Linked DNA regions of Rattus norvegicus. The protein of the gene in region 1 purifies or fractionates together with the protein of each later gene. This does not show direct contact. Links are inferred from orthologs where the notes say so. Each region holds a gene or a part of one and is shown on either strand. Other genes may lie near its edges. The genes, in order: Smarcb1, Ss18, Bcl7b, Top2b, Bicra, Bcl7c and Macroh2a1.

Region 1 (4,144 bases):
AAAGATTCTGGACTTGGGCATTCATTTCTTCAAAGTCCTGTGACTCCTGTGGCAAATGACAGGATGACAGGGACATAGTCATATCCGCTGCAGACGTCCTCCCAAAGCAGCTCCACAGAGGTCAGAGACACTGCTAGTGTGCTGCATCTGTCCCATCTGTCTAAAACTGAATCCATCATCCAGACAATACTGCAGACAGAAAATACTATATGACCCTGTGCTCTTCCCAAAATCAAAGCCAGGCTCCAAGGAGTGAGAAACCACCCATTTTGGTCTTGGGGATAACTATTCTCATTCAACTGGGAAGGCAAAGAGTCAAGAGCCCAAAAGGAGGCTGTGGTTGGACTTCTAAAACCGAAAACATTCGATGACAATTACCTCAAGAGACATGTATTTCCAGTTTAAACATCTCGGATGCATGAGAAAAATAAAACCGGTCAAGAGTACTCAGTGCAAGAACACGTGTTCAGTGCGCAAAGGCTCAGGGCTCCCCAGCATGAGAACTGAGGAAGGCAGGAGAAGAGAGTGGCGAGAGGGTAAGGAGGCACAGCAAGCTGTCCCGAGGTTCTTCCCACATGACCAGGAGCTGTCTCTCAATTGCTCCACCAGATACGTATTTTCTTTTCAAAACTACCCCCAGCCTCTTAGAGCTCAGGCCAGATTTACTCTTTCACTGGTCAGTTCAGGGAAGCGTCTTTCAACAAATTCTCCTGCATAGATTGTTCCTTATGTACTGACCTTGCATTTGCACAAATGCCTACTGGCCAACCAGCACCCTTCCGAGCCACAGGAGATGGCCGGGCCCTGACTGCACGTCCCCAGCACTGCCACCTTGGAACAGTAGCAGAGGTGATGGTGGGAACAGTCATGGCAGCCTGCACTTTTTGTTTAATGGAAAAAAGTGAAAGCAGAAATGCTAAGTCTAGATGTTTCTGACAATACTGGTCCCACTACCTGATTCAACCAACACCCTAATGGAGTATAAGACACTCAACAGCTGCCAGGAGGTAACTGCTGGCAGTTTGAAATGGCATTAGTTAGCTCTCTAGGGTGGGCCCTACCTCCTTACACATGCTATATGTCTACTGGTTAATATTCACATATTGAGGGGTTGGGGATTTAGCTCAGTGGTAGAGCGCTTGTCTAGCAAGCGCAAGGCCCCCAGCTCCGAAAAAAAGAAAAGAAAAAAAATTTCACATATTGGAATTTTATGGTTTTTTTTTTTTCTTTTGAGACTACGTAGACCAGGCTGGACTCAAACTCACCCTCTATTCTACCTCTGGAGTGTTCAGGTTAAAGGTGCAGCCTAGTGCTTGGCCACCCACAGCTTAAAATACAAAAACAAAACAAAAACAAAAACAAAAAAAAACAATAAAGAAAAAGAAAGAAAGAAAAGGAAACATAAACGGGATGTGGTGGCACCAAGTGCTTTGATCCCAGCATTTGAGAGGCAGAGGCAGGTGGATTTCTGTGAGTTCAAGGTTAGCCAGGTCTCAAAGGGGAGTTGCAAACCAGCCAGGGTCACACAATGAGATCTTGTCTCAAAGAGAAGGGGGGAGTGGAGACATAAACTGGTTGGCGGTTGCCCTTAGATGGAAGAAAGCTAGTTTGAGACAATCTGTTTTAAAAAAGAAAGAAAAGAAACTTCATACATTTGGCTGGTCTGTAGGTCTAATTGTAGGGTTTTTCTAAGACAGTGGTTCTCAGCCTTCCTAATGCTGTGACCCTTTAATACAGTTTCTCATGTTGTGATGACCCCTCACCATAAAATTCTCCCGTTGCTACTTCATAACTATAATTCTGCTAGAGTTACAAATCATAATGTCACTATCTTATATGCGGGATATCTGATGTGGGAGCCCTATGAAAGGGGTAGCAACACACAAGAGCGAACCTAAGGAACTATGTCCACTTAACTGAACAGGGGCTGTCTCTTCTAGTTATGAGTTATGGGTTAGCGATCCTTAGATTTATCCCCTATAAAGACTCAAAATCAGTTCACAGATCTCCAAAATGTTAGTGCTTCTGGCCTTGGGGCCTCAACCACTCAAAAGCAAACATCCTCCTCCAATCACTTTCTACACATCATAAAACTTATGCTACTGCACTCCACCACAGAAACAAGGACACAAAGGGGAGGAGGTTTTCCTAAGCCTCAGGCTTACAACTAGAGGTTTCAAGACCATGGCAGTGGGGTGCACGAGAGCTGCCGAAGGGCTCAAGGGCAGTACTGCACCTCCAAGCACCCAGGGGCTTCCCAAACATCCTTTTTCCATTTGCCTAGAGTGAACCGGCTCGATGCTCTAAGCTCTAAGCTAGGGCAGATGCTTAGGGTCGGATGTTAAGTGGGTAAGGAAACCTAGAGGCCACGCCCACCAGGCCACGCCCCAGCTGCGAGCACGAGCCCGCCTCCGCGATGAATGGAGGCGCGCACTCGGGGAGCACTGGCCCGCCCCGGGATTCGAGCCGGCCAGCCGCTGCTCGGGAAGCCGAGAACGCGCCGCGGGCTACCTCGGAGCCGATCATGTAGAACTCCCCGTCGTCCTCCAGCTGAAACTTGACGGGCTTCTGCCCGAAGGTCTTGCTCAACGCCATCATCATCATGGCGGCGGGGGAAACTGGCAGCCGGGGTCGAGCTGGAAAGAATCCGGTGGGCTGGGGCGGGGCCGAGGCGCGTCGGACCGAAAGGAACGGAGGCCGGGAGGTGAAGGACGGACAGGGCGAGCCGGGCAAACCGGGAAGGCGCTCGCGTCACTACTAGGTTCTTAAGCCGTCTCTGCGAAGAGCAGGCCTCCCTCCGTGCGCATGCGCGTGGGGGTGCTGACGCTAACGTGCGCGCCGCCGCCTGCGCGAGCGCGTTCCCGCAGGCCCTTAAAGGGACCCGAGCTTCTTTTGCTTCCAGGCGGGTATGGAGGGAAACTTCTCAGCGACAGAAATAGCCACTGAGGTCCTGACTCAGGCGGTGGCTTTTCTAGTGGCACAGCCTGAGATGGCACTCCGCCCTGGGATGAAGGGAATAAATGAGATGTTAAGCGGGGAGAAGAACCGCTCCATCTGGAGCGGGGTGGGCATGGCGACCCCAGGCCGGCCAGGTTCTCCACCCGAAGGTGCGCTAGGAATAGCTAGCTATCCGCTGCAGGCCCACAGCTATTCCCGAGGCAGTAGGGATGGGAAGAATAACAGTACTGGATGGAGGTTGGTACTATTCAAAGATCTATATAATGTGCCAGGTGACCGGGAAGAGACACTTGCCTTCCTTCCTTACCTCTGCAAGCTTGGTGCCCACAAGCCCAGTCCTGTTCTGTGCCTCTGCCGGCCTTGGGCCTTAACAGCCCCGAGGCAAGACAGAGCTTCTGGAAAGTGTCCAAGCAGTCCACCCTCTGTTGAACAGAGCCTTGACTCCAAAATGTTTAAGTAATGTTTATTGTAGCGCTATTACAATAGCTTAAGTTATAGCCCAGCCTAGGTAGAAGAATGGTTGAAGAAAATGTAATCTAGGCAGGGTGTCGTGGCTAGCCCCAGCACTCGGGAGGCAGAGACAGGAGGATTTCTGTGAGTTATAGGCAAGTCTACACAGTGAGTTTCAGGACAGCCAGGGGTAGGTAGAGAAACTGTCTCAGAAAAAAATAAAATAAAATAAAGCAAAAAGAGTGAAATGTGTGTACACGACGGAATTATTTTTTCAGCCCCCAAAACGAAATCGTTTTCAGGAAAATGGATGCAACTGGAGATAATCGTATTAAATCAAGCCAGTCTGAGAAAGACAAATAGGTTTTCTCTCCTTTGTGCTTTCTAGATTTCACATAGATTCATAAAATATGTACTACACAGAACATGAAAGAAAAGTGACATTGTGTATGGGAGCAAAGGGACTAACAGGAGAGGGAGGGGGGATAGGGGAAGTGGGGTATGGGAGGGGGAGGATGTACAAAATATAAATACCTTTAAGAAAGTGGAAATCAAACTGGCCAGTTTCATAAGGGTCAGCCTAATGAGACCATAGTTGTGACTAGGGTCCTTAGGAAGGAGATGTTAACTAGGAAGGGCCGTGGTAACCAGGAGTTTGCCCAACTGTCCTCACAGCCACGGGAACCAGAGTGTTAAGGGCCAGGCATGGTGGTTCACACTTTTAATCCCAGAACTC
Region 2 (3,632 bases), on another chromosome or scaffold:
ACCAACTCAGAAAAGCAACCTCTGAAGCAGAGGCTGAAGCAGGTGGAAACTGATTTCTTTTTACTTGTTACATTAGTATTAAGGCATTTTGATATAAAATTGGCTTTGTTCTTTGTCATATACTTAGTAACTTCTAAAAAAGGGAGAGAGGGCATTTTCTGATGTAAATGAGTAAATTTGATAGAAAAGTTTCTGATGTGGTATTTCCCTAGAGAACACCAGACAAAAGGAAGCCATGTGCTGGGAAGCTCCTCTATGCCTCAGGACTTCCTCAGGGTTCCCTAAACCCTGCTACCTTGGTGGGTGGCAGGGGAGTGCAACAAAAGCCAGGATGAACAGTACATTAAAACTTAAAGCCTTTCAATGACTGTCATTTACAGTAAGCAAGGAATTTTCCAGATGGCTTCTCACCCTGTTGTGGAGGTCTATAGGGAGGCATCTGTCTCTGGCCCATCATGTGACTGCCTTGGTTAACTTGACCCATCAGCCCCATGGGCGCCTGCTGTCCTTGGTAATGCTGCGCACCTCCAGGTGGCATGCTGTACTGCTGAGAAGGAGGCTGCTGGTGCATCATGGGACCTGAAGACAGAAAAACATCATCACGCGGTGTTCTGGCACTGCTGCTCAACATGCGATGACAGGTACAAGACTCTTACCACAGAATACACAAAGTGTGTACTCGAACAAGGGACACTGACTGCAAGTATAAATGAGTCTGCACAAAGCTCACAGGCCCACATTTATCTGCAAATAAGGAAAACAACCAAACCCCAGTGGAACCCTCAGGTCCACCAGAGCACTCCAGTCATTTTTAAAAAATCAACATGGAAACAAGCTCTTTCTGGCATATACATCTTCTATCCGCATCATCTCACCGGCTCTCAAGGCAAAAGCATCTTACCACAGCATGAGGAAAGCGATGAAAATAAGACCGACAGAAGAAACCCACTTCTGGGTTTGTTTCCTTCTGTATGTAGAGAGGATGATAAAGACTTATTCTCTGTATGTGTGTGAGTTTGCATGACTTATGCACGCTGCATACATGCAGGAGCCCAGGCTAGACCAGGGAGGGAGGGCATCTGGAATGCAGAAGTCACAGGTGGTGTGAAGGCTTGGGACTGACCTCATGTCCTCTGGAAGAGCAGCAACACTTCTACCCACTGAACCATCTCTCCGGCCCTACACTCTCATTCCTTTTAGTACACATTTATGCAATAGTGGTAAGCAGAAACCTACAGAAGCACTTCATAAACATATCAGTTAAATTTTATAAACTTCAATTTTATGCAAAATTAAAAAAACTTTCCATTTCCCAAACCTTTTATAAGCTTTACAAACTAGAAATATATAGTGCTTTTTCTTTTTCTTTGAAATATCTTTTTATTTTACATTCTTTTTTTAAGGATTTACTTTATGTATGAGTACAGTGTTGTTGTCTTCAGACACATCAGAAGAGGGCATCAGATCTCATTACAGATGGTTGTGAGCCACCATGTGGTTGCTGGGATTTGAACTCAGGACCTCTGGAAGAAGAGTCAGTGCTCTTAACCCCTGAGCCATCTCTCCAGCCCTACAGTGCTTTTTCTTAAAAAAGAAATTTTTTTGTTTTTTTTTTGTTTTTTTTTTTTAGTTTTAATCATATGTGTACAGGTGTTTTGCCTGCATGTATGTATCTGTGAACGATTTGTACGTATGCCCAGAGGCAGGAGAGGGCACTGGATCCCCTAGAGCTGGAGTTACAGACATGACAGCTGTCATGTGGGTGCTGAGAAGTGAACCAAGGTCCTTTCCAAGAACAGCTCAACCATCTTTCCAGCCTCCAGGATCACGGTGCTCCTTAATAAATAACTAAAATCCTCTCACCTTGCCCACCCTCTAACTTCCTACTCCCAGTCTCCCCACCCTAAAAACTACCAGGAAAAGGTCTGTAGTAAAGCATGGGCTCAGAGACAGGTACACTCTACAGGGTGAGAGTTAGGAAAAGGTCTGTAGTAAGGCATGGGCTCAGTACACTCTACAGGGTGAGAGTTCAGCACCACTGCTGCAGCACATACAGTGAAGATCTGTCACGTGACCCGCAGTGGCCCTCGAATTCTGTGTGGCCGCCTAGCAGTGTCAGATGCTCCCCGAGGGCTGCCGGGTCCTTAAAGAGCAGAGTCCCACACTCTCAGCCCGCTGACTCGAGTGTCTGTGTGTCGTCTTGCAGTCCTGCTTACATAGCGCCAAACTTGGGGGTGAGTTAAAGTACAAAAGGGAAAGCTGTGCAGGCCACGATGACACAGTGAGTCAGAGGCTCACTATTAATTTAAACAAACATCTAAAAACCAAGCAGCCACTTCCTTAAGTTTCCAGGGACAATGTGAGCACAGAGCTTTACCTCCTCAGCAACGTGACCATCTGTTCCGTGGGAAGAAAAGCTTCTTCAGAGCTGCTGTCTCCCTGAGCACCTCTGTGTGTTCTGCTTTTGTCTAACTCTTCTCGGGTCTCTCCAGTTTTTATCACTGTATGTAGAAGCTCTCCAAAGCCCTGGAGCCCTTCAGCATGGAAATGAATTCTTCACAGCAGGAGGAAGACGGCTCAGTAAGACTGGCAAGGAGGCAGACCCTGGGCGCACTGTAGGTACCTGCAATGCAAGCTGTCACCTGCACTTCCCAGGGCACCCTGGCAACCAGGGAATCCACAGAGCAAGCTTGCTAACAGTACCTGGCAAGATTACAAATGTCAAGCCGAGTTCAAAGTGCACCTCTGTGCCTGTCCTTTTCACCTGCACATCTCAGAAGCATTGGGTGTAGTGGCTGCAGTATGGGTGTGAGCCGTGCACATGTAGAGTCGGAGGAGCCCACAGGATCCCCTAGTTACAGACAGTCATGAATTGCCATGTGGGTACTGGGAGCCGAACTCGGGTCCTCCAGAAGAACGGGTGATCTTAACCACTGAGTTTATCACTCTAGTCATGAACTCTATGTGATAAAAACATTTTAATGCTGTTACTCATAATTTATTGTCAACCTGACTGGGCCTTTTAAATTTCATTTTCAAGAAATGAAAGGTTTGCCTTATTTTTATTTTCAAAAACTGCCCAAAGGACTCCTGACTTAGAAGTTAGGCTGTATCTGAATATTGGAGCCAAAATGAAAGGCATCGCTAGGGGAGGGGCTCTCAAATATCTATCACAACAAAATTCTATCTCACTTCAAAGTCCTTCCAGGAGAGAGGAAATTCCAGCACAGGGCACAGCCCACACAACCGTGCCATCTGAGCCCTATCTCTATCTGCCTGCAGCTCAGTCACTACCTTCCTGAATTCTGTCACTGCCCCCAAGGCCTCACAGCACTCAGGATCAACGTAAATCCAGAGAAAACAGGAGAGGAAGGCAGCACACACCCGGCACTCTGCACACGCCCTTGAAGGCTTATCCACGAAGTTTAAACGTCAACTCTGATTATCTAGGATGCATATGGTTTTCCTTAACACACTAACGGGAACAGAGCAGTTCAGTGAAAGGCCGCCAATTCTACGGATGGCAGAATACCCCAGAATAACGTAGACTGGCAAGGTGAATGCAAATAACGGCAGCAAGCATCTGTCACTTCACAGATGTCCCTTGTTTCTATAAATGTCGATATTAGATA
Region 3 (4,183 bases), on another chromosome or scaffold:
CTCTTCTGGTGTGTCTGAGAACAGCTACAGTTTACTCATATAAATAAAATAAATAAATCTTTAAAAAAATTCAATGTTCATTTAAATGAATACCACCATGGGAGCATGTAATGTCAGCTTTGAGTCACAAGTGCCCAGGACACTTGATGCCTACTATTTGTTTTGTCTGTTAGCACTGCTTTCACTCACCCGATTCTTTTCTTTTTGTTCTCTCCCCTCCCATCCCAACCCCCAGCCCTGGCTGTCCTGGAACTCACTCTGTAGACCAGGCTGGCCTTGAACTCAGAGATCCACCTGCTTCTGCCTCCAGCATGCTGGGATTGAATGTGTTCATCATAATCCCTGATTCAGAAATTCTTTCAAAGGAGAAACACTTCTATATCCACAGTACTTGGTCTAATACACAGAACATAAGCCGTGTGTTATCCAGAACTGAATTCCATGGCAGTTGAGTGCTAAGTATGAGCCAGGTACAAAATACTCAGGACAAGCTGCAGTTTGAGCCGGATGTTGAAAAAGTAGTTTATTCAATCAGAAGAAATTTCCAGGTGGGTAGTGAAGAATTGGAAGACGAGAAGTCAAAAAGAAAAAGGTGTGATATTGACTCTGGAACACAGCTATTTAAGCAGTGATGACACAGGTCTCCAGTTACATGAACATGAAAAGCATAAATAATTCTTGAAGGGCCAGGAGTCATAGGGGTTTAAAGGACTTGATGCCAGCCTAAAACTCACTAGGGAGAACCAACTCCCACAAATTATCCTCTGTACCATATATACTTAAAAATTTTCTTCCCAATGGTGCAGTGGCTCACACCTTTGATCGCAGCACTCCAAAGGCTGAGGCAGGCAGATTTCTGAGTTCAAGGTCAGCCTGGTCTACAAAGAGAGTTGCAGTACAGCCAGGGATACACAGAGCCTGTCTCGGAAAACAAAAATGAAACAAAAGTTTCTAGTCAAATGCAGTGGCACACAACACCTGAGAAGCAGAGTCAGGTGGCTCTGAAGTTCGAGGTTGGTCTGGTCTATAGTACAGCAAATTCCAGGAAGCAGTAGATTGGGAAAGTGGTGACTTCGAAATCTCATCCCACCAACATCATTGCGGCCTCGCCTGGCACACACCACGTGCGGGCGACACTAGGTTCGGCCTCCCAGTGAGGTGTCTAAGGGTCTCTTGAGGTGCACAGTAGGGACGCCCCCGGGCGGGTGCGCAAGCGCGCTGAGGCCTCAAGGGCCCAAGGGGCGGGAGGGTGCGCGCGCTCCCCCGCGCACGCGCGCACGGGGGGGGGTGCGAGCGACGGCCGCGGTGACGTGCTGCGGTGGCAGCGGGTGGACGACGACGCGTGAGGCGCGTGATATCCCGCGTCTTGGGAGCAGTGTCCCGGCCCCCAGCCACTCCCCGCCGCCGCCATGTCCGGCCGTTCGGTCCGGGCCGAGACCCGTAGCCGGGCCAAAGATGACATCAAGAAGGTGATGGCGGCCATCGAGAAAGTGCGGAAATGGTGAGGGGCGGGAGTGGGGGGGGTTGCTGACGTGGGTTTGCGGGAAACCCGGCGCGGAGGATCGCCAGACACGTACAGACAGGGTGGGAACCAAGAGGCCGGCCTCTGGGGGGAGGGGGCCGGAGGAAAAAAGCGAAAGGAGGGCGCGCCGGCGTCGGCATGAAGTCAGAGTCCGCGTTCACAGTAGCCAATCAGAAGGACAGTCGGCTCTTAGCCCCTCCCACTAGCTGTCATTAGTCGCTTCCGGCCCGCTCTGCCTGGGGCGGGACCTGGCGCTGCAGTGTTGCACTTCCGCCGGGGACCTCGCGGAAGTGCGGCTTGGCGGCTCCCAGCTGGGTTTCCGCTCCTGCGCATCGCAACTGTCCAGTGATGTCCGTTGTTGCCAAGTCTTATGCGCTATAAGTGGTCGAAATTAAGCGGAAGTTTACAAACGCGGCACTTTTGGAACACAAATCCCTTATATCTGTAGATCTGGGGCCCTTAGCCAGCGCACCCGTTTGCTCTAGGCGCCCAGGGGACTCCGTCTCTGCAAATACTTACTGCAAACCCGGATTTAACGGACAAATGGTCAGGATTTCATTGCATTAAACTGTTCTGAACCAAGTCTTTGAGCCATTCCCCCTCACTTAATGACGAGTAATTTCGTTACTGTTTCGTTCATTTTGTTTTTTTTTGGTTCTTTTTTTCGGAGCTGGGGAACGAACCCAGGACCTTGCGCTTCCTAGGCAAGCGCTCTACCACTGAGCTAAATCCCCAACCCCTGTTTCGTTTATTTAACCGGATCTCCCCGAGTACTACAGTCTGGCTTTACACTTGCAGTGATCCTTCTGCCTCAGTTTCCCCAGCGGCTAAGAGGCCGCTAGAGTGATTTTTTTGTTTGTTTTGTTTGTTTGTTTTGAATCAGTGTCTTAAAAACCTTTGGCTGTTTTGGAACTCACTTTGTAGACTAGGCTGGCCTTGAACTAAAGATCCGCCTTTCTCTGCTTCCCAGGTGCTGGGTTATGGCATGCCTCTGCTTCCTATGTAATTCTCAAGTGTCTCCATCCCCTTTTATTTTTTACTGATAAGGAAAAGTTTGGAGGCTGGAAAATGGTTTAGTGGTTAAAAGCCCTGGGCTGTTCTTGCAGAGGACCTGCATTCAATTCCTGCCACCACATGGCAGCTAACAAACACCTGTACTTCAGTCCCACACACACACAGGAGAAATGCTGAATGAGTTGAGGGTACACTTGGTTCGGTTGGGTTTAGAGACCTGGGAGGCCTTCATAGTTTGCCTTAGGGTGATCTTCAGTAAAAGCCACTCAACGTTTTCTTACTTTGCTAGTACGTTGGTAAATCTGACATTTCTACCTCAGGAGGAACAAGGAAGAATGTTGAGGGAGGGGTCAGTTTTGTTTGTATGCTGGGGATGGAGCCCATAGCCTTGGGCAGGCTAGACTAGTGCCTCCCACTGTTGTTCCTGGCCAGAGAAAAAAGGCAGCTAGCTACAAAGCTGTAGTGTTTCTCTGTGAGTAATCTCAGTGACCCAGCATGCAATTGCTGCCTGTTCCTTTCTGGTGATTGTTCTTCCTTTGGAGGAACCTTAAATGGAAAATGAACAAAACTAGTTTAGAGAGACTTGGAAATTATCTCCACCATCCTCCCTGACTTCTGTCTGCGGGGGATCAAAGTCAGGACCAGTGCATGCTAATAAGCCTGTTAAGACTGAGCCACAATCAGTGTCTTTCGTGCCTTCCTCCAACCCCAATTTGTGGCAGTCCTCCTGCCTCAGCCTCCAAGTGCTAAAATTACAAGAATGCAAGTGAAAGCCTCCCCACTCCCCAACCCCTGGCTTTCATCCCTACTCTGGTTACATCCTCTTATACAAACCCACCTTCAGGTGTAATTTGATGGCATTCGAGATCAAAGGAACAATCTCTTGAGACACAAAAGCAGAGTTAGTAAACAAACAAGAAATGTGATTTATTAATCCTAATTAATGCTCATCTTCTAGGGAGAAGAAATGGGTGACTGTGGGTGACACGTCCCTGAGGATATTCAAATGGGTGCCTGTGACAGATAGCAAGGAGGTAAGTAGGGGGTGGGCAACAGTTAAAGAAACCACTGTCTTAGCTTCCATTTCTCGCCTCTTTCAGTTATAAAGGAAGTTCTTTTCTGAAAAGACCTCAGGCTCCCTCGGCCCGGACTATGCAAAGTGCTCCTTTGTCGTTTGCTCCTGTATCCTCTCTTTACTTAGACAGTAGCTTCAGCCCCGTTCCTGTTGATGGGTCATTTCTCTAATGGTGAAGTGAGCTGATGCAAGCCAGATTAGATTATATATAGGCAGGTTTATTAGGAAGCTGCTCTCCGGGGAGTTCGTTGACCCCAAGGACAGAGGCCAGAGAAGTCACAATGGGGAGAGAAAAGGGTGGAGAGAGAGACACACACACAGACACACCGACACACAGACAGACAGACAGATAGACAAAGTCTGGATTATATAGAAAAGACTCTCTTGGGGAAGGGCAGCCCACTGGGCTGGAAAGTTTAGGGTATGCCAGGTAGGAACTAAGGAATCCTGGGAGAGCCAGATGTAAAATATGCTCCTCGGTCCCCTGTCTGGGTGTCAGAAAGCAAACACCTGTATTTTTTCTGCATAGGCTTTTTCTTTTCATTATGGCTGTGCTGCCTGCATGTATACAA
Region 4 (4,342 bases), on another chromosome or scaffold:
TCTTTAAAATACTCATCCTTTAAAATCATCTGTTTTCAAACATGAACTATTTGAGTACTTAGGGATGTAAAGTCACAGTACATAAAAAGTCCCCAGGTAAGAAGGCCCAAAGTTGAACTTGGGAAAGCTGGTAACAAGGCCATGGTGCTCTGTAGTCAGAGTCCAGCCCAGTTTTAGGTCCTGATTAGTGATTTACAAGCTAGAACACCAAATTCAAAATAAAGAAAGGCTTTGGTGTTTAGTCAGAATACCCAAATAAAACTGAAAATTCATGGTCTCCAGAGGGCTAATTAAGAACTACGTTTAAATTATTTTCATGTTTCAGAGCTGCCCACCTTGGTTTCAGAATGCTGCAGTTGAAAGGTATGACCCCAGGCATTTTTGTTTTCCCTTAAGGGAAGTCCTTAGCCGCCAGAGAGACTCACAGAAACACTTTCACAGAAAGCTGTTAGCTCCAACGGGATAAAGTTCTTCAGCGTCCTCTGTTAGTCACTCTTGGAAGATTGACATCTGAGGCTGTTGTCCCTTTAAACCCATTGCCACGCCTGGCAGAGAATGGCGGGGAGTATACCCAAAAAGGACTTGTTGAATGTAATTCCATTTACAGGCTGGGTGAAGTCAAGAGCTCTTCCGTCTGCCAAAGGCTTTGGTGTGGCACATTTTATTCTTAGAAAGCTTCCTCACGAGAAAAGTCTATCCTTAATGTGTACCTGAAAACCACTCTTGAAGTTCAAAAAACGATATATGTGCCCTCTTAGACGTGGTGGTGCTGGTGCAGTCCTTGACAGGTGAGAACCGACAGGGACCCTTCTGCACTGTTGGGAGGAAAGCTCAGTAGCCCGGGAAGGGAGCCCTGACCTGCTCGCGTTCCTTCCCAGGAACGTTCCCTGGGCAATGTTTAAGTTCCCTAAGTGGTGACACTGAAGACTGCCTGCAGCGTTTGGGGGGCGGGCAGATGAAGGACAAGGAGTCTGGCGGACGCTCTGCGCAGCAGCAACCTGGGACCTGAGGTGGGGTAGGGGATCCGGCTGCTCCTAACGGCAAACGGTCCCATCTGCAGTTCACTCCCCGGCCCAGTCTCTGGGGACGCCTAAGGCTTCCTGCCTCCCTGCCCCCACCCTCCCCCTCCTCTCCAGCCTCCCCGACTTCCCGGCAGGTCTGCAAGACCACTGCCCGGAGGTTTCCACAGCCCTCGTCCCAGGACTCCCGGCTCCTTTGGATGCCCGGGAATGACCCATGACAGCCGCCCGCTCTCCCTTTGGACGGAAACCCCATTCACTCTGCCTCTCTCTTACACACACACACACTCTCACACACAAACAAAAAACCCAAGTCTGCCTCTCGGTTGCTACCCGCAATGACGTTTTCCCCTCGGATCCCGCCCCTCTGGGGGCCTGAAATTTTGGGATTGGTCGAAGGACTGTAGCGACAAGACCGTGATTGGACGGTCCATGGCTGACTGACAGCCGGTGGCCGCCGCACCCTCCCCCTCTCCGAGCGCGCCTGTGTGTGCGGTGTTATGCCGGACTAAAGGGAGGCCACCACAGCGGCTGTTTATTGTCCCTCTCGGCCAGTGCTCCTAAGGACCCGGTCAGACACCGCTTGAGCGGCTTTAAGGCAGTGGCGGCCTTTGAGGCGGCGGCGACCGCGTCGAGGACTCTGCGGATTCGGTTGCGTGAGGAGAAGCAGTGACTCCTTCGTGTCAGGGCTCTGACTCGCGTCTCCTAGCCGGCCCGCGCCGGCCCGCGCCGACCCTCGCCCCTCATTCGCGATCCCGATCGCCTGCGTGAGCCCCGGAAGACCGCGTCTCACTGCTAGCCCTTCCTCGCCCTCGGCCGCGCTCTAGGCCCGGGCGCCGCGCTCGAGTTTGAGGGCGGCGGGCGGCGCGGCCTCCTCAGCGGCTCGGGCCCGCGATGGGGCGCGGCTAGGAGTGCGGCGCGCAGCGGTCAGTGCGAGCCGCGTCCCCGGTGCGCGAGCAGCCCCTGGCCTGCACGGGAGGCGCTGCCATGGCCAAGTCCAGCCTCGCGGGCGTTGACGGGGCGCTGACCTGGGTGGTGAGTGCTGCGCGGGCGGACGCATTGTTCGTGGGCCGCGGGCTGTGCGGGCGGGGGCTGAGAGCGCGGCGCGGCGGGCGCCCTGTCGGGCTGCAGGCAGGGCCTATCCCTGAGTGCCTTTTTCTCTCTGCTTTCCGCCTCTACGAGGTTCAGGCTGCGGAAGAATGCTCACCTGAAACTTCAGGGTGTACACCAGGACGTAGGGGACCGCGATAACGCGAGCCTCCACGAGCGCAGCGCCAGAAAATATTGCAGAACTTATGCCAAATGCAACCGCTTCCGGCGGCCTGTCCCAAAGGAACGTGAACTTGAATGGCCACTGCGGTTTGCGCCTCCCCTTTAAAGGCTCATTCCGCAGAGAGGGTATTTGGGATGACTTTGACAGCAGGTTAGAGACCGCAGCTGGTCCATCTGCCCGCGGGATTAAAGGGAAGAGCTTACTTACGTCAGCCTCCCGGGTACATCGCGTGGGGACTCAGGGGTTTCCCCAGGAGGTGAGGGAGGGGGTGCTTAAGCCGGAACTTGGAGGATCGCAGAGCCTAGTTCCCAGTGGGAAGTGGAAGTAGCGAGGCAGCAGGAGCAATTGGAGCAGGGTTCCCACGACAGATCGATAACTCCAGCACTTCACTTACTCCGCACTGAGTTCAGACCAGGGTCATTTCCCATGCAAAACATCAGACTTAGCAGATGAGACCAGCAGCTAGGACAGAAAATTTACACATTTCAGGGACTTTAACACACCCCTTCCAGAGGATCCCAAATCCCTCGCCTCTGAACACGCTAAGGAAGTTGGTATTGCTTGGCATTTTTGTTCCTTGGTTTCTTTGTTCGGTTGAGGTTTAGATGAGTCTGGATTAACAGTCATTTCTTATAAAAAGGATGTTTTTATAAACAGCAGGAAAACTGTTTAACCATTTGCAGGGCCGTGGCAAGATACTTTGCAGTGTAACTTGCCAGGTTCTTATCTTCGAATCTCCAGAAATAAGTAGTTCTTTCTAGGCAGTGCAGTAGGAGAGCGTGGAGAAGAAAAGTTAGATAGTAAGTTAGTGCGCGTGTGTCCTTGGAAAGAATGATTGAAATGGCTGACCCTTACCTGGTACTAAAACTAAACGTCTGAAGATGGACTGCGATCATATGCCAGTGTCACTGGTGATTGTGGAAGCACTGACATCCGAGCTGCTGCCTTCTGGTGTGTAGGGTACATGCAGACAAAGCACTCATACACATAAATAAGTCTTAAAAAGAAAGCAGTTGCTATCGTGGAACCAAGTCACAGACAAGCTGCTCAGATGTCAGTGCCACCATATTTGTGCTGGGAGTTGAACTCAGGACCTTTAGAAGAGCAGTGAATGCTCTTAACCACTGAGCTATCTCTCTAGTTCCCCTCTCAGCCCTTTTGTTTTTACATTATTATTTTATGCGTATGGGTGTTTTGCCTGCTCGTATGTCTGTGCACCACTTGAGCGCCTGGTGCCTAGACCAGGCCAGAAGAGGGCATCTATACCTTGGAACTGCAGCCACCCAGATCCTCTGGAAGTGAAGCTAGTGCAGCTGGGCCACCTCTCAAATTCTGTCACCATGGCAAACATTTTGTGAGACAGTTGGATTGTTTTTTTTTTTTTTTTTTTTTTTCTTTTTTTCGGAGCGGGGGACCGAACCCAGGGCCTTGCGCTTGCTAGGCAAGCGCTCTACCACTGAGCTAAATCCCCAACCCGGATTGTTTGTTTTTAAGTCATGGTAGCAATGCTTTAATTTAATGGGCACCTTTCCTTTTAAGGTCAATGGAAAACTTTAATTTACATACAAAATGGGGCAAAACTTGTAGAGTTTCATTCCAAATTAGAAAAAAAAATCTATGTGAAACTACAATAGGCACATTAATTTTGCTATGAACTAGATTATGGGAATTACAGTAAAATAAAATATATCTTGTTTGAATTAGGTTATTGAGAAGAAATCCTCTTTCAGGTTTGCTGCTTGCTTTCTGTTCCTAATGCCAGCATCTTCCTGTCTGTAATAAACCTTACAGGTTGCTTGTGCATGTGTTTTTGAGAGAGGAGAGAGTGTATATGTACATTCATCTACCTGGGCTTTGAACTCATGATCCTCCTTCCTTAGCTTTGTGAATGCTGAGATTGGGAGCCAGCACACGGGGCCTGGTTGGTCTTCTTTACTGGAAGATGATAGCATGAGTTGATGTGGGCTTTGGCATAGGTTCATATACCCCCTGCAGTACATAATGCAGGCGAGACTTCTTTCAGGGGGCTTAAATTTTTCTGTCCTATTTT
Region 5 (4,389 bases), on another chromosome or scaffold:
CAAATGGATCTGTAACTAGGAGAGTTGGATAGGAGGACGGATATTTGGAAGGATGGAGAGGGGAGAGAGGAGGACAGAGGCTTAGAATGTCAGGTGGGCACTGAGGAGATAGCTCAGTTGGTAAAGTGATTGTGAGTGAGAATATGAATTGGATTCCCAGAACCCATATAAAGAGCAGGGCATGATATCCCAGCACTGGGGAGGTGGAGGCCATGAGATACCTAGGGTTAGCTCGCTGGTTAACCTAGCCTAATTGGTGAGCTCCAGGCCAGTGAGAGACCCTGTCTCAAAAAAGGTGGACAGTGTGGAATGTGAAGGGCCCTTTGGAGGAATGTTTTAGGGCTGAGAGGATGTGGTTAGATGCTCTGAGGGACTGGGTGGCTGATTGGCAGGCAGAAATTCTGTATGGTGGGAGGCAGATGGGAAAATGCAGACAGCATCCGTTCCTTTTGGGGTGCAGGGGTAAAAAGCAGCCTCTTCCCCTTCCCGGGGGCTGACCACGCTAACCTTTGTCATGGGCTCTGATAATGCTAGCCAGTGGAGAGCGCCAGACAGCTCCAGACAAACGTTAGCCGTCCGCATCCTCATCATTCAGCTGTGGAGGCCAACCCCACACTGTCACCTCTCTGGTCCAGCCTTGTGACCCTCCCTGCTCCTGCTGCCTCAGTCCCCTCCGCCATACATCATGCCTGTCACCTTTCTTTGCCTGAGACCCACACTGCGTAGGTCTTCAGGATTCACCCAGGAGTGTGGTGACCCTTTCTCTTACTCTCTCATTCCACCCTCCCTCTCTTGCTCTATCCCACTGATACTCAGGACAGGCCCCCACCACACCCGACGGGCCACAGACTGTAGTCAGAACAGGACAGTGAGCCGTGACATGCTTAGGCTCAGGGGCATGGCTGGCGAACTCAAGCGGAAGCCTGCCTGGTGGGAGTCTGGTGTGAGCTACAGACCCTGAGAGAACAGTTCAGGTTATTTTGTTTTTGAGACGGGGTTTCACCATGCAGGCCTGGCTGATCTTGAACTCACAGACATCCTCCAAGTGCTGGGATCAAAGGTGCAGGCCATCTTAACACCCAGCGAGTTTGGGTTTTGACTCTGAACTAGACTGTATAACGCAAAGTAGAATGGCACCCTGGAGGCCGGAGCGCATGTGTTCCCTAGGACTCGGGCATGTACAGCCCACTCGCTGGAAGTTGGTGCCTCCAACTCCTCACCCTTAAAGTGGGGGTGCCATAGTTTATTCAGTTAGACTTCTCTGCAGCACTTAGTGTAAGAGACCTTTTCATTTCAGTTGATACCCCCTTCATCATCACTGTCAGACGTGGGGGGTGTTGGGCAGGAGGACAGAGGGTAAGAATGCTACCCCGTCCCTGGTCAGGACTTCTGTGTGGGAGGGTACCTGGGAGGTGGTTCTTGTACCCCTCCACCTAGCTCTGTGTACTTCAGAGACAGTTGGTCAGACACCCCCCACACTACCTCCACCACCCCGTGAAGGGGCAGCTGGGCTATAGACTGCCTCAATCTAATTGTGTCTCCCCCACCCTCTTCCCACCCCCACCCCATCTAGTGGAAATGGATGATGAGGATGGGAGATGCTTACTAGACGTGATTTGGTGAGTAACGGGCTCCCCCCACCCACCCACGCCCGTCTCCCACACCCCTCCCTTCCCTCTACTCCTCAGCCTAGCTCCTTAAGGTCTCTTTTCCCTCTCTCTTGCAGTGACCCTCAGGCCCTCAATGACTTCTTGCATGGATCCGAAAAGGTAAGTGCCAAAGGCATGGAGGGGCCTTCTTTGGTCATGGGGCTGGAGGATCCGAAGGGAGGTGCAGGTCCCCTAAGTCTCGTCTCCTTGCTCTGTCATCTTCCTGGTTAACGAACTAAGCCAGCCATTTAAAAGGGGGGATGAGTGGGAGAGGGGGCCGCAGCAAAAAGATCTCAGCACATTTTTAACTTGGAAATGATGCTGTATTGAATATATACATTTTCTTAAAATATCATACTAGATTAAAAACAAATAAATAAAAGGCCAAGTGTAGACTATTAATCCCAGCACCCAAGAGGCAAAGGCAGGCAGATCTCTGTGAGTTATCTACAGAGTGAGCTCCAGGACGGTCAGCGATACATAGGAAGCCCCTGCCTATAAACAAACGAATGAATGAATGTCATTTACTATTCACTAGTTAAGGTTTTCTTTAAAAGTCATACAGAAAATGGCTAGAAAGAAATAATGAGAGGCGCTAGAGAGATCGCTGTATGGAGAGCATGCGTAAGCATGGAGACCTGAGTTCAAATCCCCAGCATGCATGTCAGAAGCTCGGCATGGTCATGTGCACTGTAACCTCGTTTCTCTGGGGAGAGGGTAGAGACAGGAGGATCACTGGAGCTTGCTGACCCCTCTCTTAGCTCCCAGTTGAGTTGACAGGGCTGTGTCTGAGGGTAATGGGGCAGAGTGGTGAAGGTGTGAGGGGTGTTGGGCATGATGAAGGAGGGTCAGAATGCTGCCCCATCCCTGGTCAGGACTTCTGTGTGGGAGGGTACCTGATCCTTATATCCCTCCGTCTCGCTCTGTGCACTCCAGAAACAGTGCTGTGACCCCCTACGTCCATTACCTCCAGGGGCCACGCTGTGAAGGGGCAGCTGGGTCTTAAACTACCTCAATCTAATTTTGTCTCTCTCACCCCCAAGACAAGACACTGTCTTCCTCTGCCTTCCTTCCTTCCTATGTGCACCTGCATACACATGTGTATAGCAGGTGTGTACACAAACACATACAGAGAGAGAGAGAGAGAGAGAGACAGAGACAGAGACAGAGACAGAGAGAGACAGAGAGGAGACAGAGAGAGAGAGAGAGAGAGAGAGAGAGAGAGAGAGAGATAAAGCCTAAAGCTGGAGAGATGGCTGAAGCAGTAAAGAATGTTGGCTGTAGGCCAGGTGGTGGTGGCACGTCTTTAATCCCAACACTCAGGGGTCAGAGCCAGGTGATCTGTGAGTTTGAGGCCAGCCTGGTCTACAGAGTGGGTTTCAGGACAGCCAAAGCTACACAGAGAAACCCAGTCTTAGAGAACAGAGTGCTGGCTGATTCTATAGAGGACCCAGTTCCAGGGGATCCAACCCTCCTCTGGCCTCTGATAGCACCAAATATAAGATATATATTTATGTCTTAAAGAAAATAAAGGAAAGATCTCGTTTAGCTGGTGTGGTCAGAGGAGGTCACTCTGGGGTGGCAGCATTAAAGATGACCACAGTGCTCTATCTAGCAGGGGTAACATTGAGAGAGAGGCTAAATTCAGAACTATTATGAGACAGCACGGAGTGCTTTAGACGTGGTTAGGTGATTTTGTTTTTATTTGTTTGTATATTTCTTTATTGTGAGGCAGGTTCTCTCTTTGTAGTCCTGGCTAACCTAGAACTTACTAGGTAGGTCAGGTTGGCCTTAAACTCACAGAGATCCACCTGCCCGCCCTGCCTTCCCACCATCACACATGACTGATTGATTTATTCTGAACCTGACAGCAGTTCTCGGGGACCCAGATTTGATTTGTGTCCCAGGAAATCTTGGAAAATGTGGCTGTCTGGAGGACCAGTGTGGAACTCTTTGTATTCTACAGTGGTATGAGAGATTACCCCCACATGGTGACTTAGTGCCTAGTTGTTAGACTTTTGCCTTGTTGGGAATCTGGGTCAAGAGTCAGCTGGGTGGTCCTGCCTCAGGGACTTCCCCTGAGGTCACAGCAGTCTGTATATTACAGGAGCTACAAGCATCTAAGGCAATGGTTCTCAACCTGTGGGTTGTGACCCCTTTGGGGGTTAAATGACCTTTAAACAGGAGTCAGTTAAGACCATCAGAAAATACATTGTGGTTCATAACAGTAGAAAAATTACAATTATGAAGTAGCAACAGAATAATTTTATAGTTGCCGGTCATCACAACTTGAACTGTATTAAAGGGTCGAAGCATCAGAAGGGTTGAGAACCACCGTTCTATGTGCTGGTCTAGAGTCAACTATATATTTACTCTAACCTCCCTTCTTGTGGCCACTGCCAGGAGGCCCAGGTACCTTTCCCGTGGGCCCCTCTCTCACTGTTTAAATGTACTCAGGATATGGTAGCTGATTTCCCTTGTCACAAGCACCCTATGATAGAGAGCCAGGAGGAAGCCACAGTACCTTTTATGACCTAGTTTCATGAGTCACACGGATACTTGGGAACTGCTAAGTAAGAGCTCTTCGGTTCCGTCCCCAGCACCACATAAAATGAGGCATGGTGGGGCATGCAGTCCCAGCACTCAGGAGACCAGGAGTTTACCTCCCCCTCTAATGGCTAGCATGTTTGAGGCTAGCTTGGACTACAAGTATCTGCCTTGAAGGAGGAAGGAGCCACTA
Region 6 (4,431 bases), on another chromosome or scaffold:
TATGTATGGTATGTCAGGTGTGTGGAGGTCAGAGAGCTGTCAGGAGTAGGTTCCCTCTTCTATGATGTGGGGTCATCTATTGAGTTTAGGTCATCAGGCTTTGTGGCAAGTCCCTTGTTCACCGAGATATCTTGACAGCATTCATTTTCTTTAAGTAAACCTTTAGCTGAACTATAATACACACAAGAAAAATTACAAGTAATAAATGTCCATCTTGACAGACTAAAGACAAGTGTGACAAGCTCCCGGAAAACACCATGAATGTACTTGTGTTCTGAACTTAGATGTAGAATTATCTAATGCATGTTGTCACATCTGGCTTCTTTTGTTGCAGACCCATCCCCACCATTGCACATAGCAGGACTTTGGTTTTTCTGGTTGTTTTGTCTGTGCTCATGGTATAAACAGGTTGTAACTGGTTTTCCATTCCATTCTGTTGAGTGGCTCCCAGGTTGGTGCTATTATGAAGAGTACCGAACTTCCCAGTATACATATCTTGGTGTTCATACAGACACATTTCGTCCTAGTGAGGTTTCTATTGCTGTGATAAACACCGCATCTATTTCAGCTTGCAGTTATAGTCTGTTATGAAGTCAGGGCAGGAACTTAAAGCAGGAACTGAAGGAGGCCAGAACTGAAGCAAAACCTTGGACGAACTTTGCTTACTCACTTGCTCCCCAAGGCTTGTTCAGTCTGCTTTCTTAAAGTGCCCGGAGGTGGCACTGCCTACAGTGGTCTGGCTCTCCCACAACAACTATTATCAAGAAAATGCCCGGGGTTGGGGATTTAGCTCAGTGGTAGAGCGCTTGCCTAGCGAGCGCAAGGCCCTGGGTTCAGTCCCCAGCTCCGAAAAAAAGAAAAAAAAGAAAAAAAAAAAAAAAAAAAAGAAAATGCCCCATAGACTTACCTGCAGGGCAACATGATGGAGGCGTTTTCTCCATCAAGGTTCCCTCATTCCAGATAACCCTAGCTTGTGACGAGTTGACAAAAAAGAGGCAGCACATATTCCTTCTGTTGAGTGTTGCTAGTTTGGGAGTGGAAACTGTTGGAAGACGGGGTTGGCATAAGTTTTTCAATGGAAGACTGCCAGTTTTCCAAACTATCTCTACCAATTACACACCCTGATTCAAGGAATGGCAAGTTGCTCCTCTGCTACTTCATCTACATGGTCTTTTTCACTCCCGCCATTCTGATTGAGGAGGCCGGCTCTCCACTCGCAGAGTCTGGCTTGTACTAGGCGCTGTTAATGGAACTGTTCAATGAATGAATGAATGAATGAATGAATGTATGAATGAATGAATGAATGAATGAATGAATGAATGAATGAATGAACAAGTTAAGTTGGGCAGCTTAGAATCAAACAGCCTGGAGAGGGCAGACGCGCGCACACAGAGCATTTCAGGGACGCCCACCCGCCGCGGACGCACACCAGGACAGTCCCTCTCGCGCACCCCTGTGCCCACGTGGCCGGAACGCACCGCCTCGTTCGGGCCGCGCGCGTCCAGCCGCACCGCTGCCCCCCAGCTCTCCCTCTCCGCGGCGGGCAGAGGGCGCTGTGCGTCCGTGCGCCCCGAGGGGCGGGCCCGGGCCGGGGCGGAGCTGGCCGGGCTTCCAGGCCGGGGCTCTAGCCGCCCGCGCCGCCCGGGCCGCTCCGGGGACGGGCCGGGGCGGGGCGCGGTCTCAGGAAGCCAGGCGGGGACGCGCGGAGGCGTTGGGGAGCGAGGGAGGGCGCGGCCAACTCCCGGAGGGACGGCAGGCCGAAAGAGCGGCGCCGGGGCCTGGCGCGCAGCCTGAGATCGCCGGACCGCAGGCCGCCCCACCACGGGCTCTGTCCCGGCCCTAGCCCCGCCAGCATGGCCGGCCGGACCGTGCGGGCCGAGACCCGGAGCCGGGCCAAAGATGACATCAAAAAGGTGATGGCGACCATCGAGAAGGTCCGGAGATGGTGAGCGCTGCCCCCGGGTCAGGGATACAGCCAAGCCACCTCCTCCAAACGCGTCCGCCCTTTCCTGGCCCGCTGCCCCCGCCCACCAGCTGTGATCTAAATCGACAGGGCGCCCCCTTTCCTTGGCAATTCCCAGAGGTCTACAAAGCGTGGTCCGGAGTGGTGCTTTCCCTGAGCGGGAGCCCTCATCTATGCCCCGCCCCCTGAAGCTTTTGACACTCTCGCAAGCTTGGCCCGGGGTCTTCATTGCCTGAGTGCCTGGGCAGGCCTTGGTGGCGCCCTGCTGAGTGCCCCAGGTGTCTGCAAAACCGCAGCTCCAAGTTATATCCGTTTATGCTTTGCCCTGGGGTTTAGAGGGCTCTTTCTGCTTCTATGCCGTGTAAACGAAGCTGTCCGTACCCTAGCACACCTCCCTGACCTCCAGTCTGTGGGGCTCACCCTTGGGCCTCCCTGACCCAGTCTCCTGACCTCCCACAGGGAGAAGCGCTGGGTGACTGTGGGTGACACTTCCCTTCGAATCTTCAAGTGGGTGCCTGTGGTGGATCCCCAGGAGGAGGTGAGCAAGCCCAACCCCCAACATGCCTTGCATCTGTGCAACCTCAAGCAATTTCCCTCCCCTTGGCCTCCACCTTCAGTCGGCTTGGAGACTCCACTGTGGAGCCCAGGCAGATGGTAACGATTATTAGGGGGCATGAGCACGGAAGCGCGCGCGCGCGCGCGCGCGCACACACAAACACACACACACACACACACACACTTTCTCCAAGTTCAAGACCTAACTCGGCCTACACAACCTGAGGCAGCACCTTTTGCTTCTCTGAGCCTAGGTTTCCTTATTTGAATTGAAGGACTTTGTAAGAGCTCCCTGGACAAACTAGCTCTGATCTTACTTCTCTAACCCTCAGGAGAGGCGGCGGGCAGGAGGAGGGGCAGAGAGATCTCGTGGCCGGGAGAGGCGTGGTAGGGGCACCAGTCCCAGAGGGGGTGGCCCCCTCATCCTGCTGGATCTCAATGGTATGTAGAGATTCTGGAATAGGGGTGGGGGGGCTGGGTGCTGAAAGAAGCCACTGGGGTCCTCTGGCCAACTAACTTGACTTTTGCTTCAGCAGATGAGAACAGCAATCAGAGTTTCCATTCCGAAGGTTCACTGCAAAAGGGCACGGAGCCCAGCCCTGGGGGGACGCCCCAGCCCAGTCGCCCTGGATCACCAACTGGACCTCCAGAGGTGATTACAGAAGATACTCAGCCCCCACAACTGGGCCAAGAGAGAGGTAGGACCATGTGGCTCTTGGGAGTCCTCTCCTCACCAGAGTTGAACCTACCGCCTTGTATGTGTTTCTATATTGTGTTGTGTCCCCCCCCCCCTCCCCCGTCCTGCCTCCCTCAGGGAACCTTTCCTGACCCTGGCAGAAATTACCTCTGGCTGTGCCTGGCTCATTCCTTGGCATCTTGGATTTGTAGGGAGCGTGTCGCCATCTGAAAACTTTATGTAAATGTACTTTTTGCTTGCTTATTGCCTCTCTGTTACCATCTCATGTCAGACACACTGATCTGGTTCATGTGGGACGCATAATAGATGTTCGGCAACTAAATAATTCTGATAACCCTAGGGATTAGTAACCGTAGATTAACAGCTGACAGAACCACTTATCTGTTAGTCATTCTTCTGAGCACTTCAATGTTTTGTGGTTTGTTTTCTCATTTAACCCTCACTGACATTTTATGGAACCAATGATCCTATGATGATTCCTATTTATACACGAGGAGCCCAACATCCAGAGAAAGATGCCCAGACTTGCAGAGCCAGTGCGCCAGCTCCTCGGCCTTCCTGTAGTCCACCCCCCCTTCCCAGGCATGGCTGACTCCCGTGCCTTTGGCGCTCCCTTCTCACTTCTCACTTGCACTGGCTCTCGCCTCCACATGCTACAGCTTTCTTAGAGCAGATTCCAATCGGCCATTTTCCTGCTTTGTGTCCTTCGTTGGCTCCCGTGGCCTTTGATTCCTTCGTTTGAACCAGAGGCCTTTATAAACTGTTGCTACTGAAATTGTTCCCCTGTCAAGAACACCATGACATGGGGCTTGGGACCACACCTAGGTTGTCCCAAATACTTTCGCTAATATGAAATGATGGGGCAGGGCATGCAGCCCAGTGCAGGTGCTTGTCTGTCATGCCTAAGGTCCTAAGCCCCATCTCTAGTACCACAGAAATGAATGAATGAATGAAACTGCTAGCTGGCACTTCTTGAGCACATACTATGTGCCGTGTACTTGATCCACACAGCAGCCTCTCATGGTGTTACTGTCACTATTTCCATTCTGCGGATGACTGAGAGTCTGTGGTCACTAAGCACATATTTCTATCTGCCTAAATTCTACTCTACCTCCGTTTGCCTCCTGGCTCATTCCCTACTGACAAGATCCAACTTGAGTCTTCCTTCCTCAGCAACTTGGTACCCCTCTGCCCCCACAATGTCATCATGTGTGAC
Region 7 (4,351 bases), on another chromosome or scaffold:
CAGCTGGAACCCAAATCTAAACTCCAGAGCAGAAGCCCCAAGCCCTGAGTCTTTGATGCCCACCCTAGTTAGAGAAGACAGCAGAGACCTGGCAAGACAGGAGGGGCATTCAGATGGGAACCAAAGTAGTGCCCGTGCTTCGAAGCCTGTGTTTGTGCCAGCGTCCAGGTCTGCAGCCCTCCAGCACAGTTGGGCACCATACACTGGTCTGCAGGCTCTGGCAAGCTGAGGCGGGCGTTGCTTAAAGTGCTCACAGTAACTAAATGCCAACGGTCACTCAGTCGTAGCTCTCTGAGGCTCTGGGGGATAGTCTCCCACCTTCGGATGATCCTGGAGTCCAGTTGTCTCTAGCAGGCCTGGACCCCACACTCTACCTAATTAATACATATCATCTTGTCCCACCACTCTGACCTGACCGGGCTAGGGCAGGGCACAACCCAGAAGCGGAGGGCATCAGGTCATCTATGATGGGGCAGCCAAGGCACTGTGTAGCTACAGAGGCTCTCACCTTAGGGGAGCCATGAATCTACTTCATCACCTGTGTGTCTAGCTAGGGCAGCTAGGGGGCGCCTGGGACCCTGCCCAGCAGCACAGGGAGATGCCCGTCTTGCTTCTGCTTCTCCCCATGGTCTGCTACTTTAGAGCGGGGCTCCCTAGGACCAATCCAGGCTCCCATTGGCCCAGCAGCAGGCCAGATTAGAGTATGGTATGTGAGGTGGGCGGTACCCTACCAGAATAAACCTCTCAGCCTCCCTTTCCCCAGCTTCTGCATTCTGAGAGTCCAGACTGTGGAGTCCTGACCCGCTGCCTGCATGTAGGCCACGGCTCCCAGTCAGAGTGGCCGAAGGCCTGAGGGGCAAAAGCTCCAGGTGCAGAGCCCAGCCGGGTGTGCAAGGCAAACTCTCTGTGATGTCAGCACCAGCCACAGGTTCAGAGTTAGAACCCAGGACCAGGGAGGAGCCTTCCCTCAGCCACAGCTGAACCGGCTAGGCGTAACCTGCTCCTGTGATGCTCTTAGGAGACTGACCTTGCAGTCGGGAGAGAGGCCAGGGCAACACCATGTATCTTCATCACATCACACACTTGGCCGGTGCCCGGCAGAGTCCAAGCGCACCAGCTGGCTGAGCGCACAGGAGCAGCACGCAGCTGTGACCGTTCGTCTGGGGGGCCTCCCCGGCTCTGCTCATCTGAAGGGGCGTGAAGTGAGGCAGGCAGGCAGGCAGGCAGGCAGGCCGGCCTTCAGTAGCATGGCACTGGTGGAATATGGGTCAAACCTACCCATGCAGAGAACAGCTCCCTGCACACTCTCCTCAGAGCCTGCCAGCCCAGGTTGTGCCCACGGACTGAGGTCTGCCTGCCCCGGCCACCCTCTCTGCTCCCTGGGCCTGGATGCAGGCTCCAGCAGGATACACACAGAGGGTGGAACGCGCTCTCTCTACAACAGATCAGCAGTTCCCACCTGGCCCGTTCCTGTGCTCCCCTCTCTGCCTGAGAGGATTGCGGCCACTGTGCCAGCTGCCTGGTGCCTCCCTGCAGCCCTGACTTCTGTCACACTGACCCCCAGCTTAGCTAGACCATCAGGCTTGTTCCGGGAAGAAACCAGACTGTCTGGAACTCCGAGCCGAGCTCCATGGGGAGAGGCCCTGAGCATGTATCACACCCCACAATGGCCCAGGTCTCCCAGGCGAAAGCAGGTCGCAAGAGCTTTTCCTGTGGCCTTGTGAAGAGCCCTGAGCACTAACAGCTGGGGAGAGTGCGGCTCCCGGGGGCGGGGTGGGGAGTCAGGGTCACAGGCACAGTGTAGAAGGCTGCGTGTGCTGTGATCACATCATCAACTCAGAGAGGACCAGCCAGAGTGGCAGGCAGGTGGGCTAGGGACTGTAGACTGCAGTGAGCAAGGCGTAGCCCTGAAGGCTGCTCCAAGCAGAGTTTCCTTCCACTGGGCCAGACCACTCTGTAAGAGCACATGCTGTATTGGCCAGGGACTGGCTCAGGCTTCCAGGTCCTGAGTTCACACTCGGAGCCCCCTGTGACATCAGTGGCAGGATGCTGACTTGGAGACTTCCGTGATGACCTGAAGTCAAGGTTATCGACACTTGCCCCAGAATTCTGCTCTGCACCACGGTGGCTGCCCTGCCTGCCCTCTGCTCTAACACTAGCTGGTGCAGTTTGGAGATGGTCCCTGGACCAACAGCCCTTACTGCCACTTGTATAGAGCACTTGTATAGAGTGCTCTATACAACTCGAGGGCAGAGCTACTCAGACCCCATGGCCATGGTGGACTGACACTGATAGGCGCCTCAGCAGTGGAGCTTTCATGGACTGCCGGTTCCGGGGACCATGGGGAAAAGCAGCAGGAGCTTGCGCACCTTGACCGCTCCACGCTCGGCATTCAGTGTCCTTGGTTCTTGCTGCCACTGTCTAGAATGCTCTCTGGGTCCCACCTCTTCTTCCTGCTCACAGATGCCTGGTTATATTGCCTGTCCCTCGTCTTGTGAGCGCTGGATGGCTCTGTCTGTTCTACCACAGCAGTGCTTATGGTTTTGAACGAGTTGAGCTTGTTTAACACGCAGCAAGTGGACGTGAAGACAGTAAGCAGCAGAGAGACTGCAAACTTCACACCAGGTCATGTTACACTTAAAACATCCCAGCAGAAACCAATTCTAGACGCCTAATGGAGAGAGCAAGCCGCTCATAGATATCAAACCAGTTAGCAGTGACCTGCTGGGGGAGCCCCACCAAAGCCATGTCTGCCTAGAGCTCCCAGAGCTCCGAGCAGTGTCCAGGGATGAGCTTGGCTTCCTGTCCCCACAACAGACATTTTTATACCATGGACTAACGGTAACCTTGCTGGCCATCCACTCTCCTTTCCCCTTGCATCAAAGGCAGTCTGCCTCAAGACACGGGGGCTAGGAGGACACCTGGGGTAACTGCTGTGAGACGAGGGAGGTCATGTTGTAGAGCTCACACCCAAGTGCCAACGGTGTGTGACAGCTCTCTAATACAGCTTACCCTGTGAGGGCTTTCTTCACACCTGTGGGAGCATCTCCTGCCCAGGGTGAGGACCCTGCTCGCTGTAGACACCTTGAGTGCTGACCCCCTGTGTTCTCTCCTACAGGAACGGGTTCCCGAAGCAGACAGCCGCCCAACTCATTCTGAAGGCCATCTCCAGCTACTTTGTGTCCACTATGTCGTCCTCCATCAAAACTGTGTACTTTGTGCTTTTTGACAGTGAGAGCATAGGCATCTACGTGCAGGAAATGGCCAAACTGGATGCCAACTAGGCCAGCGTTCCCTAGAGCCAGCACATGTCGTGGCCCCCACCTCCAACTGGAAAGAAAGAAAAAAAAAGAAAAAAATCCCCTCGGCTCTTATGGGGAGGTGGGGGCTCCTTTCCTTTTCAGTTCTGCTCATCTAGGGGAAATAAGGTTTTGGTTTCCGGTTTGATTGTTTTTGGCCTTCTACAATGTTTTCTGTTAGCACTGATAGCTGGCATTGTCCTTGCTAAGCACTGCGTTCCAGACCGTGTCTGACTTAGTTAACCTAGGAGATTTTATAGTTTTACTTTAATGAAGTCCTGATTAACACAGAGCAGTGGAGAGACCGTGCCCCTGTGTCAGCAGCAGCAGCAGCAGCAGCAGGAAGCCCCGTTTGTAACGCGTGTTGTGGTGCTTTACTGTACACCCAGTGGCGTTCTTTTTACTATTACGGTTTTTCCCCCTCAGAAGAGAAAAAAAAATCATAAAATTTGCAACAGACCTAACTTTTGTTTACTTTTTTGTCTTAATGATAGATTTGAAAATGAAAAATGTTAAAAAAAAAAAGACAACTGGATCTGTGGTCCTTATTATATTTGCAGTTTTTTTTTTTTTTTTTTTTTTTTGGTTCTTTTTTTCGGAGCTGGGGACCGAACCCAGGGCCTTGCGCTTCCTAGGTAAGCGCTCTACCACTGAGCTAAATCCCCAGCCCCATATTTGCAGTTTGAGATTTGTGCGAATCAACTTAGGAAAGCGTTGAACTGTCGAGGCTGGCCACGTGTTGCGTTACTGCGCCTGCGGGCCCCAGGCCTGTGTCCCTAGGACACAGGTCCAGGCAGCGCACACCCAGGAAGCTCCCGGATAGTCCCACGAGAGTCTGTGGACGGTCCCTGGACCTCGGCGGGTAGGTCAGACATCTGCTGGCCCTAGGATATGTAGCGAATTCACGTAGGAAGCTTGGAGTCTCGAGTGTGGTTGGGGTGTCAGTCCCACCTCACAGAGAAGTTAGAGAGCGCACCCACAGCCGCACTGGAGATGAAGCAGCCAATGCTAGAGCAGAGCCTTGCACTCTGGGTTCCATCTCTCTCTGACTT

The links.
Region 2: the proteins of Smarcb1 (region 1) and Ss18 purify together in Homo sapiens (affinity purification with mass spectrometry; 9 studies listed by BioGRID and IntAct, counting the BioPlex papers as one, with this or other methods). This does not show direct contact. The link is inferred for Rattus norvegicus from reciprocal best matches to the Homo sapiens genes SMARCB1 and SS18.
Region 3: the proteins of Smarcb1 (region 1) and Bcl7b purify together in Homo sapiens (affinity purification with mass spectrometry; 6 studies listed by BioGRID and IntAct, with this or other methods). This does not show direct contact. The link is inferred for Rattus norvegicus from reciprocal best matches to the Homo sapiens genes SMARCB1 and BCL7B.
Region 4: the proteins of Smarcb1 (region 1) and Top2b fractionate together in Homo sapiens (co-fractionation; 3 studies listed by BioGRID, with this or other methods). This does not show direct contact. The link is inferred for Rattus norvegicus from reciprocal best matches to the Homo sapiens genes SMARCB1 and TOP2B.
Region 5: the proteins of Smarcb1 (region 1) and Bicra purify together in Homo sapiens (affinity purification with mass spectrometry; 3 studies listed by BioGRID, with this or other methods). This does not show direct contact. The link is inferred for Rattus norvegicus from reciprocal best matches to the Homo sapiens genes SMARCB1 and BICRA.
Region 6: the proteins of Smarcb1 (region 1) and Bcl7c purify together in Homo sapiens (affinity purification with mass spectrometry; 7 studies listed by BioGRID and IntAct, counting the BioPlex papers as one, with this or other methods). This does not show direct contact. The link is inferred for Rattus norvegicus from reciprocal best matches to the Homo sapiens genes SMARCB1 and BCL7C.
Region 7: the proteins of Smarcb1 (region 1) and Macroh2a1 purify together in Homo sapiens (affinity purification with mass spectrometry; 3 studies listed by BioGRID and IntAct, with this or other methods). This does not show direct contact. The link is inferred for Rattus norvegicus from reciprocal best matches to the Homo sapiens genes SMARCB1 and MACROH2A1.

What each region holds. Positions count from the first base shown.
Region 1 is NC_086038.1:12,739,604-12,743,747, reverse strand, and holds the start of Smarcb1 (SWI/SNF-related matrix-associated actin-dependent regulator of chromatin subfamily B member 1), read right to left. Parts: upstream 2,801-4,144; 5' UTR 2,605-2,800; coding exon 2,512-2,604; intron 1-2,511.
Region 2 is NC_086036.1:6,061,358-6,064,989, forward strand, and holds part of Ss18 (protein SSXT), read right to left. Parts: intron 580-3,632; coding exon 412-579; intron 1-411. UniProt on the Homo sapiens protein: Appears to function synergistically with RBM14 as a transcriptional coactivator. Isoform 1 and isoform 2 function in nuclear receptor coactivation. Isoform 1 and isoform 2 function in general transcriptional coactivation.
Region 3 is NC_086030.1:27,143,751-27,147,933, reverse strand, and holds the start of Bcl7b (B-cell CLL/lymphoma 7 protein family member B), read left to right. Parts: upstream 1-1,302; 5' UTR 1,303-1,409; coding exon 1,410-1,501; intron 1,502-3,494; coding exon 3,495-3,570; intron 3,571-4,183. UniProt on the Homo sapiens protein: Positive regulator of apoptosis. Plays a role in the Wnt signaling pathway, negatively regulating the expression of Wnt signaling components CTNNB1 and HMGA1.
Region 4 is NC_086033.1:11,539,628-11,543,969, reverse strand, and holds the start of Top2b (DNA topoisomerase 2-beta), read left to right. Parts: upstream 1-1,505; 5' UTR 1,506-2,006; coding exon 2,007-2,054; intron 2,055-4,342. UniProt on the Homo sapiens protein: Key decatenating enzyme that alters DNA topology by binding to two double-stranded DNA molecules, generating a double-stranded break in one of the strands, passing the intact strand through the broken strand, and religating the broken strand.
Region 5 is NC_086019.1:85,811,772-85,816,160, reverse strand, and holds the start of Bicra (BRD4-interacting chromatin-remodeling complex-associated protein), read left to right. Parts: upstream 1-1,578; coding exon 1,579-1,619; intron 1,620-1,726; coding exon 1,727-1,769; intron 1,770-4,389. UniProt on the Homo sapiens protein: Component of SWI/SNF chromatin remodeling subcomplex GBAF that carries out key enzymatic activities, changing chromatin structure by altering DNA-histone contacts within a nucleosome in an ATP-dependent manner.
Region 6 is NC_086019.1:191,751,804-191,756,234, reverse strand, and holds the start of Bcl7c (B-cell CLL/lymphoma 7 protein family member C), read left to right. Parts: upstream 1-1,593; 5' UTR 1,594-1,853; coding exon 1,854-1,945; intron 1,946-2,422; coding exon 2,423-2,501; intron 2,502-2,850; coding exon 2,851-2,959; intron 2,960-3,051; coding exon of another isoform or gene 3,052-3,054; coding exon 3,055-3,216; intron 3,217-4,431. UniProt on the Homo sapiens protein: May play an anti-apoptotic role.
Region 7 is NC_086035.1:8,543,445-8,547,795, forward strand, and holds the end of Macroh2a1 (core histone macro-H2A.1), read left to right. Parts: intron 1-3,118; coding exon 3,119-3,284; 3' UTR 3,285-3,824; downstream 3,825-4,351. UniProt on the Homo sapiens protein: Variant histone H2A which replaces conventional H2A in a subset of nucleosomes where it represses transcription. Nucleosomes wrap and compact DNA into chromatin, limiting DNA accessibility to the cellular machineries which require DNA as a template.